Arabidopsis thaliana: one gene and its partners. The protein of the gene in region 3 interacts with the protein of the main gene of each other region in a pairwise test. Each region holds a gene or a part of one and is shown on either strand. Other genes may lie near its edges. The genes, in order: UBC28, UBC10 and MUB2.

Region 1 (4,525 bases), on a different chromosome or scaffold from region 3:
GCTCATCGGTACAATACCAAAGTCTCTTCAAAGATTCCAAAGTTCAGCTTTTTCTGGCAACAACCTTACCGAGAGGAAGAAACAACGCAAGACTCCTTTCGGGTTAAGCCAACTTGCTTTCTTGCTGATTCTGTCTGCAGCTTGCGTTTTGTGTGTTTCCGGATTATCATTCATAATGATCACTTGTTTCGGGAAGACTAGAATCTCCGGGAAGTTGCGAAAGAGAGACTCGTCTTCTCCTCCAGGAAACTGGACATCTAGAGATGATAACACTGAAGAAGGCGGGAAGATCATCTTCTTTGGTGGAAGAAACCACTTATTTGATTTAGATGATTTGCTAAGCTCATCTGCAGAAGTTTTGGGGAAGGGTGCTTTTGGTACAACCTATAAGGTAACAATGGAGGACATGAGCACGGTCGTTGTAAAACGATTGAAGGAAGTTGTCGTTGGAAGACGAGAGTTTGAGCAACAAATGGAGATCATTGGTATGATCAGACATGAAAATGTAGCTGAGCTAAAGGCTTACTACTACTCCAAAGACGATAAGCTCGCGGTTTATAGCTATTACAATCATGGAAGCCTCTTCGAAATACTGCACGGTTAGTTATTTTCATTGCTCTCATTCTGATGATAAATCGAAACTACAAGGTTCCATTTTCTTTGCAGGAAACAGAGGAAGGTATCATCGAGTACCGTTAGATTGGGATGCTAGACTGCGAATAGCAACCGGTGCAGCGAGAGGGCTAGCTAAAATCCACGAAGGGAAGTTCATACATGGAAACATCAAATCCTCAAACATCTTCTTAGACTCACAATGCTATGGCTGCATAGGCGATGTTGGCTTGACGACAATCATGAGATCACTTCCTCAAACCACTTGCCTTACTTCTGGCTACCATGCACCTGAAATAACAGACACAAGAAGAAGCACACAGTTTTCGGATGTATACAGCTTCGGTGTGGTATTACTGGAGCTCTTGACAGGGAAATCACCAGTGAGTCAAGCAGAATTAGTACCAACAGGAGGTGAGAACATGGACTTAGCTAGCTGGATAAGATCTGTGGTGGCTAAAGAGTGGACTGGAGAAGTGTTTGATATGGAGATATTGAGTCAATCAGGTGGTTTCGAGGAGGAGATGGTTGAGATGTTGCAAATAGGATTGGCTTGTGTTGCTCTGAAGCAACAAGAAAGACCTCATATAGCTCAAGTTTTGAAATTGATTGAAGATATTCGATCAGTTGATGCAGAGTGAGACAACACAAACTAGTAGTAGTAACCATTAAAGCAAATTCTTTGTTTCTTCATAGATCATTTGATTTTATTGAATTTGAATCATGCAAAAAAGAATGAGACTTTGAATTATAGAATCAGAAACAAATATAAATCCATTTCATAAAACGAAGAAAACAGAACAAATTTGGGAAAAAAAGTAAAAGCATCTAAGAAGAACATTACGAAGAAGATCCAATTTGTGGATTAAACGGGAGAGAGGAGGTGAAAAAGATGAGGTTTAGGATCTGAGTTCATGCCGATGATGATGATCAGAGGGATGAAACCATAGTGAGTCGCGACTTTGGCTTTCTGTAATGACCAGTTGGTCCAATCCTTGAAGACCTTGTACTTTGATGATGCAGAGGAGGACGAAGATGATGATGATCCCTTTGATGGTTTTGCTTTGCCTTTGATCTTCAACGTACTTTTAGCCGCCATTGATTCTGATCTCAGAACTCTCTCTCTCTCTCTCTGCTTATCTCTGTGTCAGAGTCGATTTAGCTGGAAGACAAAAACCCTAAAGGGTTTAAGCACCTTTTTAAAGCCTCTATGAAACACTCTGTCTAACTCAGAGGGTCCTTTATTTTTTATTAAAAGTATGTTTATCCAATAATGATTCTCTGGCTCGCTGGAAAATAGCTGTCATTATTTATATTTGAAGCATACATAAATAAAATTTCTCTCTCTTTGTTTATTCGTTAGGTCTCAAAGGCTCTCTCTGTCTCTTTCTCAAAAATCATCTGCAGGAAGTGAATCGTCAAAACCGAGTTTGGAGGATCTGTCTTGAGGTAAAAAAGCTCAATCCTTTATCGGAAATTTTCAACCTTTGCTTTTCCTTTGTTTGTTGCGTTGCTGAATCTATCTAGGGTTTGGTTTTTTGGATCTAGGAGTTTTTTTTTGGTTGAGAAATGGCTTCGAAAAGGATCTTGAAAGAGCTCAAGGATCTCCAGAAGGATCCTCCAACTTCCTGCAGTGCTGGTTAGTCTTTACCTCTCCTCTCGTAAATCGTGTCTGATCTATTTTTGAGCTTTGTTGTTAGATCTTATAATCTTATCTTTAAGCAAACAAAAAAATGAAATCTTTTTTAGTCTTCGTAATTTTATAACGAAGTTATCTAGAGATCTTGAGGTGGTAATTGCCGCTAAGTTATGATCTTAGTTTAGAAGATACCAATTGAAAGTTGAGATTTTTCTTAGAACAGAACAAATTTATGGCTGTACTGATCCTTGATTGAAAATTACAGCTTTCTAATAATCATAGTCTAGAAGATAGCTGTTAAAAATTGGGATCCATTTACCCATCCTGGATACTATTGATCATAATTAATAAGATAACAGTTGGAAGTTGAGATTTTTCTTAGAACAAAGTTGAGATTGGTCGTTGCAGTTATCTTATGATCATAGTCTAGGAAATAGCTATTGAAAGTTGTGAATTTTCTTAGAATTAAGCTTTTGGTGTTGTATGCTGCCTTGTTTATCCAAGTATCCATAACGGATCTTACAGACTTGATACCTCGCACTGATAGTCTTTCTTAGTTATCTATTGCATTCAGGTTTATACATGTTTGTTTTGTTTATTAAAATATATGATAAGTGGATAATGCGTCGAAATTGTTGGTCTTAATAGAGTTAGAGGATTGTTGTCGGAGATTCTCAAACTGTTCATGCATTCTTCTGCTAGAGAAGTCTCAGGACATTGCTATGGCACATGTTTTGTTGTGTGTATTTCAGTAAATGCCATAGATCATCATGTTTAAAAGACTAATCTTTCTATTTTTTCCTTCTATGAACAATTGTGAAATCTTCAAGGCCCAGTTGCTGAAGACATGTTTCATTGGCAAGCTACAATAATGGGTCCATCTGATAGTCCTTATTCAGGCGGTGTCTTTCTCGTAACCATTCACTTCCCTCCGGATTATCCTTTCAAACCACCAAAGGTAAATTATTCATTGTTACCAAACTGAAATCATGAACTGGAATTCAAAATGCTCTTTTTCTTGCAGGTTGCATTCAGGACAAAAGTGTTCCACCCTAATGTCAACAGCAATGGAAGCATTTGCCTTGACATTTTGAAAGAACAATGGAGTCCTGCACTCACCATATCGAAGGTGAAAAAGCACTCTTTAACCAATAGCAGTGGATGATATATAATGAATCTCCTCTTATTTTAATCAAATCTCTTGTGAATTTATAGGTTTTGCTTTCGATATGTTCATTGTTAACGGACCCAAACCCAGATGATCCATTGGTTCCAGAGATTGCTCACATGTACAAAACCGATAGAGCAAAGTATGAGTCTACTGCGAGAAGCTGGACTCAGAAATATGCAATGGGATGAAAGTTTGTGTCCTTTGATCCCTCACAGACTCGGTTTTAATAGAGAGAGAGAGAGAAAGAGAGAGGACTTCTTCACATAGGGATCTTCCATGAAATAAGTTAGATTCCTATGTTTTATCATCTCTTTGTTTGAAACCTCTTTAATCTCAAACAAAAACATTACTTCACCTCTTTATTATCCATATGTTCCCTATCTTTGTTTCTATGCTTTTTCCAAAAAATTATAAGAAAAATTATTTATGTAAAGCTGGAAACTTTGAGCTTTTACCTAACAAAGTATGACGATGATTAAATGGGAACATTTGACATTTGCTACCAAATTTTCAAAATTCCGTGTTTGAGAAAATATTGAAATAAAACCATTTTTGCAGAAAAATAAAATAAAAATTGCATGATTTTGAAGATGTTGATTAACATATTAATTCGAAATTTACCCTTGTATGAAATGCAAAGTGATAAATTTACCCTACAGAAAATTTTCTCCACCTTTATCATTTCCCTTGCTTGTAAGGGATCAATGATTCCATATGTGCATTAATTTAAAAATACCTCAAATCAAAGAATAAAGGTACACTTTATCTACCATTGAATTAAGTTACCTCATTATGAAATGGAAAGCGAAATCAAAAGGCATATTATTACGAAACAATAAACTGTAGATTTATTGGTTAGCTAGATCATCCAACTTTTCATTCAATCTGAATTTTCATTTAATTTATGATGATTTGAATGTAAAATCTGTAAATCATGGTGTATTATTATTAACCAATGAAATATTCTAAATACTGAAAATAATTCATGTAGTGATTTAGCCAATCATTTAGGCTATATTTAGTTATTTACATAGCAACTAATTACGTTCATGTTGATTAACAAGGAAAAACGCGTTCATTACGCAATACCATGCAATTGGAAT
Region 2 (4,495 bases), about 17 Mb from region 3:
TGGTTGTATTGTCTCTTTAACCGTGCATTGTTACAATTATTAAAGTATTTTAACATTTTGGAATATGGAACACCTATCTTAACTAAACCAAAAAACATGGAACACTGATTTTTATTTTATTTCTTTCAGTCGACACCAATTGTTTGAATTTTGCGTTTGAATGTCTAGAGTTCTTAGCCTACAAGTTTCATGGATATCTAAATCAAACCTATAGTCCCTATGATTTCTTATTTTGTTAAACTTAAAGCAGATGTTTAATTTGGTCTTTTGCTCTTAACTAGAGTAAGTTTTGCCTGTTGGTTATCATTTCTAAGTTCAAACTGATACTCTTCTAATACACTGATCCGTGGGATAATGATAAATTTTGAAAAAAAGATAGTAACATACTGTATTTTCTTATAGAGAAGAGAAATTCAAAAATATTCTAATAGCACAACACTATTAAATGTATTTTTCTCTTACCTGTGGACTTGTAAAGATAATTTGTTAGGGGTGATACTTTAAGCTCGGACGAGCGATGGATCTTTGGTCCATCGAAGCCCATCTACATAACTTGAGTTCAGTCCATACCCATTCATCTATAGATTATCTGTAGTATTAGATTCTATACCACTCTTTTTTTTTTTTCTGTTGATTCTATACCACTCACATTCCACATAATCAGGCTATTTATTATTTTATTAAATACTGTATTGTCAAATAATTTGACTTCACCAAATAACATGTTTTCGTCAAACTCATGATATGATGGATGATACGAATAAGAAAACTGTTATAACTTATAAACAAAATAGGGTGTTTAGTGGTTTTGTACTAGTGAATCATTGCTGAGTTACTACTTGAGTTCAAACATGCATAATACATGTCGTTTAATGGATATAGGATTGTTTGTGATATTATTGCATACTTAAAATGTTTGTTGCATCACGTATGTAGTCCACAATCCACAGGCGCACCTTGCAAGGTACAAAACTCATTTTCTACAACATACGTGCTACAACAGAACGCATTGTCACCATGACGGGCATTGGCCACAACGATTAACTCAGAGTAAATTTGAAGACCAGTTGGATAAGTTTGAAGACCAGTTGGATAAGTTTGAAGACTAGTTTGATAAATTTGAACAACTCGTAGCAACTCATCACACAACGAAAACATCAAATCATAATTTCACCACAAGAAGAAACAACAGAAGATGATCAGATTCTAGTTTTCACAAAGATGATGTTTTTTTTTGTTTCGTTTAAAACAAGACCCACTTCATTTGGTCCTGTCTTCAGAAAGTTAAAAGGACACAAAGAGATGTCTATCGAATCATACATAGAAATTAAGGCAGATTTTTTTCTTCATAAAGAGATAATTTAGTAGGTGGGATTTTCCATTTAGCCCATGGCATACTTCTGAGTCCAGCTTCGTGCAGTGGACTCGTACTTGTTCTTGTCAGTCTTGTACATGTGAGCTATCTCGGGCACCAAAGGATCATCCGGGTTTGGATCGGTTAACAAAGAACAGATCGATAGCAGCACCTGTTAATTGCAAAGCAGTTGTTAGAACTGATCGATAACAAACAACAATTTTTCATCCTCAATGAGTCTAATAAGCTTAATGTTTCAGAGACAACCGAAATGAGTCAAAGTTTAATGAAGACAGCTCAATCTTATCACTTCAACTAGGGATTAAGGAGCAAAAGCATGTTTGATAAGAGTAGATTACTGCCTCTGAAGCAGTTTTAATAGAGAGTATTTGTTTTAAGGTGGGTTTCTATTGTTAACAAAAGAATAAGAGAAACCGAACCTTGGAAATGGTGAGCGCAGGACTCCACTGCTCCTTCAAGATGTCGAGGCAAATGCTACCGTTGCTGTTAATGTTGGGATGGAACACCTTGGTCCTAAAGGCCACCTAGATATCATCACACACACCATAATGAAGAACAATGAGATAATGAAGCAACCATAAAGAACATACGAGCTTTGGCAAAACATACTTGATAACAATTCTCAAAATATTGGAATCACCTTAGGAGGCTTGAATGGGTAATCCGGAGGGAAATGGATGGTTACAAGGAAAACACCTCCAGCATAAGGACTCTCTGAAGGACCCATTATCGTTGCCTGCCAGTGAAACATGTCTTCAGCAACAGGACCTGTACACAGAAAGATAAACTCAATCTCACACCACATAAGCACAAGGAAACAAAGAGACAGTTTTTTCTTCACAAGTATAACCAGACCCCAGAAACTAAGACAATGAAACGAGTTTTAAGCCTTTATAAGATCTTCACCAGAGAAATCAGAAACGAGATAAACCAAATTTAGTTCTAGCCAGATCTTAAAAAGTAAAACGAGTACTTAGCTCGAGATCGGTACCAAACAACACATAAACACACAAATCCAAACAAATCCAAGCATAAGCGAACAAAAAAACCGGATCTATCAACACCAGCTCAGGGAAACAAAACTTTTTAAGATGAAATCTCAAAATCCAAACACGAAACAAGTACCTGCGCTACATGATGTAGGTGGATCCTTCTGGAGATCCTTCAATTCCTTCAAGATCCGCTTCGACGCCATATCCAAAAACCTAAAAATCAAAAATCAAACAAAGATTCTAAACGAATCAGAGAAGCTATAAATCCGTGAGAAATATAAGTAATAGATCCAAAAGCTACAGAGACAATACCTTTGATTTTTCGCGTAATCGGATTGGCGAGGTTTTCGCCTTTTTCTTCTCGTATTAGAGAGAAGAAGAACCAAGACTTAGGGGAAAGGAAGAAAATAGAGATGGTGGTGGACGAAAGACGAAGAATACGAATTATTCTCTGTGCTCACGTCTACAATAAATACCGTGTGGATTATTTACTTTCTTTGACTAGTGGACTCTACTTTTAACCCTCTTATTATTCGGTGGACCTTGAAACGACGCGGCGCTTCTTAATTAAAACATCAAGTTGCATTGAAACGACATCGTCTTAAAAAGTCATCTAATCTAACGGTTGATATCCTATCCTTAAATCAAGTGGTATTGAAATCTAACGGCTGCGAGTTTATTATAAATTTCAAATCAAGTGGCATCGAAACGCGTTGCGATGAAGTCATATAATCTAACGGCTGAGATTTGTATCTTTTAATCGATCGAATCATTTGAAGCCACGTCTTCTCTCTCACTTTGGAGATTTTTCTAACGCAGAATCTGAGAATAAGCTAACCGATTCCGATTTCGAGTTCGTCGCCGGGAGGAATGAACCGGTTGAAGGAGCAAAAGGGGCCGAAGTTCGACGGCGAAGAATCACCTCCACCTGATTTTGATGAAGATCGAAGTGTGGGTGAGGTAGACGGAGGAGATCACACGCCATTCGCTGGAGGTAAAGTCAGAAGGAAAGCGTCTCGCTATAGAGAGCATCGTGGTGACTATCTTCACGTTTCTTCTCGTCCTGGATTGATGCGAATTCTGGAGAAACAAGGTTAGGTTTCTCCAAACTTTTGGTTTTTATTTGATGAATTTGAGATTGAGAGGCAATTTGTGAATCGAAGAACTTGGAGGAATAGTTGAATCAGCTGTAGAATTGTGGCATCGATTTATAGTTTCTTATGTGGTTGTTTGGATTGCTAATGATTGGATTCACCTTGAATTGCATGTGTTTGATGTTGAGAAGGTGATTCATTGTTGTTATAGGTGATACATCGATTCTTTTTGCTGATAAAGTTTTGAAGTTCACCGGCTCGGGGAAGATGAAACGGCGTATTTTTATCCTCACTGATTTTGCGATCTATCTAATTGATCCCGAGACTGAAGCTATGACCAGGAGAATTGCTTTGTCATCAGTAGAGAAGATGTGTTTAAGCAAATTGAGTGATAACTTCTTCGCTATCATTATTCCCACGGAATATGATCTCTTCATGGCCAGCACTAGGAAGACTGAGCTTGTTCAGGTCATGGTAGATGTCACTAAAAGTGCTTCTGACTATGAACTTGAAGTGCTTCTCTCTAACAGGTAACTATGACCGCAATTTTTGGTTTTTGATGTCTCCTCTTTGAATGCTAATACCATGCACATGAGAATTGTTTATTTTCATCTCATTTCCTGATATTGACACTACAGGTATTGTGTTACTGAGAACTGATGTGGGTCTTTTTAGTCTCTGAAACTTAGTGAGCTCTGTTTCTTAAGTGACTTGGCTATTAGTTAGTGGTGAGACCAGAGGATCCACTTGTACCTATTAATCATATCTATATTTATGGAAGAAGATAAAGAATTAACACTTTTAGGAGATAACTACTGAAATTAGTACGTTGAGATACAAATGGTTACAACTATATTTTAAATACTGTTAGATGACATATTCTAGTTTTGATTGAAACTGTTCTCAAATGGCAATCACGATAATAGTCCGTAGAAACATTTTGTATATCTCCCATATCGTAAAACTCAGCTATTGGTTTATATGTGCAGTTTGTGTTTTATACTGATAATGGTTTCTCCTTGTGTTCATTCCAG
Region 3 (4,858 bases):
GAGAGATTTGAAGGAACTAGGCTTCGCCGGAAAAGCCGCAGAAGGTTGAAGATGAGAAAACGAATAAATCCTTCGAGTCTCCGTTCCTACACTGACTACACCACTAAACGCCGCCGTAGCAGTCGTCGTAGCCGTCGCCATTAGCTCGGAAATTTAAGAACAGCAAGCAATTGAAAAAGGAAGATCAAATACAACAGGTAGTTTAGCACAAATCCACCAAAACGGCGAGATGTTTACTTAAGAAATCAGCAAAGAGAAACGCTTTTGCTTTCTCGTGTAGTTTTAGCGAGAACCAAGAGAAAAGGTGAAGTAGAAAACTAATAAAGAAGAAGAAGAAGTTGCTAAACGACGCCGGAGTCTTCGTGAACCATCGGGATGTACTTACTACTGAGACCTTCTTCTGACACGTGTTCACTCTCAGAAAACTTAGGATTTTTCGAAGTAGAATTAATATGAACCGTCCAAAAATATAGCAGAAAATAATAATTAATATATAGTTTCCCGAATTTTGGGCCGTTGATAACGAGATTGGCCCACTACGACTGTTAACAGAAACCAAACATTGTTAACCACGGAAATTATGTCAAGTTATATTTCGTGATGATTCACTTTATTCCGTGCAAATTTGTTTGTTACCTAATAATTTCCACGGTGTTGCGAATCCGAAATACAATAGAAACCAAACCTCAAGCGATCAAAAAGCCAATCATGTCATGTCATGTCAGAAAAAAGAATTACAAGGAACAAGAGCAAAAGGTATTGAAGAAGGCTCAAGAACAGAATGTGAATCTCCCAAGCTTTTTTAACTCTCTCTACTTGTCTTGCACAATTGTTAACAACGAGCTCCAAAACATAAACAGACACATTTGTTCTGTTTCAGATCACCTTTAGGCTTCTTCTTCTTCTTTTCTGTTTTAAACCATTAGCAAAGCAAATGATCTTCAGATTCTCATACAAATGCATAACCTTAACAGATGAGGTTTTCAAACAGTATATACTATGAACAATGCTTAAGAATCTAAAGATTACCTTTTTCAGTAACTTGATGTTGAATTATAACATGCATTGTGGTGACAGCACCTGAGAAATTGCCGACGGGACTCCTGCAATCTCCAACCGTTTTGTTGTTCTCCAATATTCTACCCGCGCTTATCAGTTTAACATCTTTCACTGTCTTTGGCCCGTTCTCCTTATCTGCTCACATTCATACAAACAAGCAAAACCATAAAGGGTTAATCAATTTCATATCTTTCAGTGTCTTTGCCACATTCTCCTTAGCTGCTCAAAATTATACAAACAAGCAAAACCATAACACCAATGACTCACAATCAGGTTTTGATATTATCACAGATATAGGCGAAAAACCAATGCAGGTCCTCATGGAGAAGCGAGAAGGCGTTCTTGTTAAGTCCAGTGCAGTGCAGGACTAATGTAACTAGCCTAGGGGTGATGCAGGGAAGTGTAGCTTTGCCAGCTCAGTAATAGACCTCATCGGTTAGTTGAGAGCTGAAGGTTTAAGAAGCTGATTGGTCTAGATAATTTGGGGGCATTGGGGAGAAAGAAGAGTTGTACAGAAATTACTCTCTCGTTTGCTCTAATTCTGTTTCAGTCTCTTCTTACGTTTGGTCATTGATTTATCTTTGTAACCAGTTTCTCAAGGATCAATAAAGAGGGCAATGAGTTTCTGAACCTAACAAAAGGCTAAATATGAAAGTTTCTTTACAATGCAATTCTAAAGTCTAAACCATTCTAGTCATGGAGAAATCGCCAGACCGATAAAGCTTAACGCGGCTTTATCTCATTGCATAAATGAATATCATCAATACATGTAAAGCAGAGTAAGAGCATAGACACTGACCTCTTGGCCACTGAGCAACAACGGTTTCTTTCAATGTAGCAACGGTAGTAGCATCAGGAAACAATTTAGGACCGATATCAGAACCATCGTTAAGCCGGAACTTAATCTCTAATTGATCCTTCACCTCTGCCATATATCTCTCTAAAGGAATGACCTAACAAGAACTCAAAACGAGACAGTGTATCAAGAAGTTCAACCGAAGCAACCGAGATTTGAGCTTTAAAAAACTCTAAATTGAAACCTCGTTTGCTTTGATCCTATCTGCAATAAATCAAAAACAAGGAACCAATTGTTTCACACAAGAACAAATTCTCAAGCAGCTACAAAAACATGTTTTCTCTAGCTCAAGTCTCAATGTGAACCCTAATGAAACTTATGGATTGGTAGATGATCCTGAATGGTGAAAATGAATATAAGAAACGCATTGATCAAATAATATGAATCCTAAGAATAGCAAAGATCATTCCTTGAAAATATGATCGATCATGAATCGTATTATCTCCGAAAGGAACAACAAAAGTACCAATGGAACTCAATCTGGTATTAGATTAACCGATGGAACACGAACAAAAAGAAACCCTAATTAGGTGTTCTTACTTGGGTCCGCTACTGATCTGAGTTTGATGAGGAATCAGAGAAGGATCTTCGAAACCTCACATCACAGAGGAGAGAAGAAAGAGAGAATGATTAAGAGAGATCTCACTCATAAGGTTTGAGAATAAATTGCAGCCAAAATGTTCCCCAAATCCTTTTTATGTCCTTGTTCTTCTTCTTCTTCTTCCCATCTCTACGCCAATTAAAATGCTCTACCTTTTAAATTCCTTTTAAAAATAATAATTATATTACCAAATGCTCTCTGTACATTGATATGATCTCATTTTTATTTGTACATTCAAAAGCTATTGGAGATTTTTGTTTGTTTGGTTAATCATCAACGATCTTTGTAGAGATTACATTCAAAATCACAGCTCGAAAAGATTAGGAACTGAAATGATGATATTAATAAGAAATGTGGAGCAAATAGCAACAAAACAAGTGTATAAGTGTGTTCCTCAATTTATCAACAACTGGCTTTTCTGGTCATAACCTCTCCCTCTCTCTCTTAATAACCAAAAAAGAATTATAAACCCAATCTTTCTTTCCCCATTCTTATAAAAAGATTCAAGAATTGGATTCTCCAAAAGAATTTCAAAAAAAGGGTAACCTTCTATTTTACAGAAAGAATGAATCTTTATCTCTCTCTCTCTCTTTCTCTTATGCAACCTTCCCTTCGCTGCAACCAAGTTTCTCTTATGTATGTGGCAAACTAAATTTCTGATTCTTCCTTCTTTAGACTGAGTGTAATATCTGCAGACTGCCTTGTCTTTTTTACTACTTCTCCTCTTTTACACCTGTAACTACCTTCATGATCATACACCTGTAACTCTTACCTTCATGATCATCTCAAAGTTTCGGTTTTCCTACTCCAATATGTGACAGTTCTTGATGAAATCATTTGAGTAGTTGACGTATTTGGTCCAGAATGGCCGCAGATGCTCGAAACCAATCTCCAGCCATGGCTTTGACTGCCCATTGTAGTGGATCACTGCTGCTTTCTTCACATTTTCTATGTTGGTCTTGCTCTGGTAGCCTAATCCTAGCATATGCCATGACGAGTCTATTATGTGTACGTGACCCTTGAACGCGATAAGAGCAGGAGGCAAGGTTCCAAGTTTCCACATTGTCAGATTTGACTTTAGATTCTGTTCCAAAGCAAAAGTAAACAGAGTAGATTAGAGAGGTAACTTTAGATTCTGCTAAAGAAAAACAAAAAAGTGTAAGCTTATTCGATAGAGTTACCTCTCTAAGCCAAGAGTGATACGTTTCTCTGATATTTGTTTTCCTCCAAGCTTGTAGATCGAAGATATTCATACCATATGCCCAAGCACATTCTTCAGGATCTAAATGCTTTGCGATGAGCGGGTGAGAGAAATTGAAGTAGTTCCTTAAACGCTTTGACATCACCCATTCATCTTCACCCCTGCAAGTCTCTACTGCCCCATTGACCTTACCACCGAGGTCAACATCCCAAAGTGGAGTTAAGTCTCCCTGGACAACTATATCATCGTCTAAGAAAACCACCTTGTCCAAGTTCGGGAAAAGCTATTCCAAAAAAAGAGACGAAATTGGCAAATGATTTAGAATCCCCATGAGTTCTATTGCAAGTTCAAACTAGGGGATAAAGATTTACCTCTGGTATATATATTCTAAGATGGTTGAGCAAAGATATGTATTTTGGACTTCTAGACTGCAATTTTGAAGCAAATGTTCGAGGAGTTGTTTCGGTGAGGTTTGCCCCAGCGACATGATTCCCATGATAATAGTCCCTGACACCATTATGGCTTTCCACAGCTTCCAAAACCGGAACATTCTCTCTCGTCAACCAGTCAAACTGATGAACACCTTTAACCTCAACAATTGCTGGTGCAACAGAATTAAGCGCAAACCATGAATGCATACCCGCATAGGTTTTCTTGTCTGTAATGATGTGAAAGACAATTTTCTCGGGTTTTGAAGATGACTGAACAGCGGATGAGACCACAACTGAGGCAGCCAAAATATTGTCCGTGGACAAAATAAAGTGGTGGTAAGCATTATCTGAAAGAACAGGGAGAAACTCTGGTGAAGGAAGCTGTCTTCGAGCATGAGCATTGGAGGAATATTCATCTGTCAGTCTTAGAGAGAGACAATGAATGCCTTTGGGAATGGAACTTGCTGCAAAGTGCTTGTTCATAAGTTCTGCAAATTTCGATTCCCTCATATCACGTTCAAACTTCTCCATCTGTTCAAGACAAGATAGAGATATATCACATATGATAATCTTCCCATTGATATGGCTCACTTTAGAGAGCAACAAGAATTAACAAAGATCTCTTCCAAATGCAAATAAAAAAGAAAAGAAACCAACTTGACAATTGCAAGAGCCACAGATAGATGCAAAATATTTTCTAACTAAACAAA

What was found.
Region 1: the proteins of MUB2 (region 3) and UBC28 interact in a two-hybrid assay, tested with the Arabidopsis thaliana proteins (one study listed by BioGRID).
Region 2: the proteins of MUB2 (region 3) and UBC10 interact in a two-hybrid assay, tested with the Arabidopsis thaliana proteins (one study listed by BioGRID).

Annotation. Positions count from the first base shown.
Region 1 is NC_003070.9:23,831,611-23,836,135, forward strand, and holds UBC28 (ubiquitin-conjugating enzyme 28), read left to right. Parts: upstream 1-1,940; 5' UTR 1,941-2,061; intron 2,062-2,139; 5' UTR 2,140-2,181; coding exon 2,182-2,251; intron 2,252-2,866; coding exon 2,867-2,992; intron 2,993-3,081; coding exon 3,082-3,209; intron 3,210-3,275; coding exon 3,276-3,380; intron 3,381-3,466; coding exon 3,467-3,610; 3' UTR 3,611-3,926; downstream 3,927-4,525. Other genes in the region: AT1G64210 (Leucine-rich repeat protein kinase family protein), read left to right, coding at 1-599, 667-1,253; TOM7-2 (translocase of outer membrane 7 kDa subunit 2), read right to left, coding at 1,478-1,711. UniProt on the Arabidopsis thaliana protein: Accepts the ubiquitin from the E1 complex and catalyzes its covalent attachment to other proteins.
Region 2 is NC_003076.8:21,631,420-21,635,914, forward strand, and holds UBC10 (ubiquitin-conjugating enzyme 10), read right to left. Parts: upstream 2,829-4,495; 5' UTR 2,680-2,828; intron 2,608-2,679; exon of another isoform or gene 2,581-2,607; 5' UTR 2,571-2,580; coding exon 2,501-2,570; intron 2,144-2,500; coding exon 2,016-2,143; intron 1,900-2,015; coding exon 1,795-1,899; coding exon of another isoform or gene 1,768-1,794; exon of another isoform or gene 1,527-1,767; coding exon 1,383-1,526; 3' UTR 1,148-1,382; exon of another isoform or gene 1,029-1,147; intron 628-1,028; 3' UTR 602-627; downstream 1-601. Other genes in the region: AT5G53310 (myosin heavy chain-like protein), read left to right, coding at 3,238-3,460, 3,673-3,991. UniProt on the Arabidopsis thaliana protein: Accepts the ubiquitin from the E1 complex and catalyzes its covalent attachment to other proteins. Mediates the selective degradation of short-lived and abnormal proteins.
Region 3 is NC_003076.8:5,018,115-5,022,972, forward strand, and holds MUB2 (membrane-anchored ubiquitin-fold protein 2), read right to left. Parts: upstream 2,813-4,858; 5' UTR 2,456-2,812; exon of another isoform or gene 2,120-2,455; 5' UTR 1,992-2,119; coding exon 1,859-1,991; intron 1,657-1,858; exon of another isoform or gene 1,382-1,656; coding exon of another isoform or gene 1,327-1,381; intron 1,195-1,326; coding exon 1,030-1,194; intron 910-1,029; coding exon 833-909; 3' UTR 566-832; downstream 1-565. Other genes in the region: CLPB3 (casein lytic proteinase B3), read right to left, coding at 1-141; GAUT14 (galacturonosyltransferase 14), read right to left, coding at 3,319-3,600, 3,698-4,000, 4,089-4,679. UniProt on the Arabidopsis thaliana protein: May serve as docking site to facilitate the association of other proteins to the plasma membrane.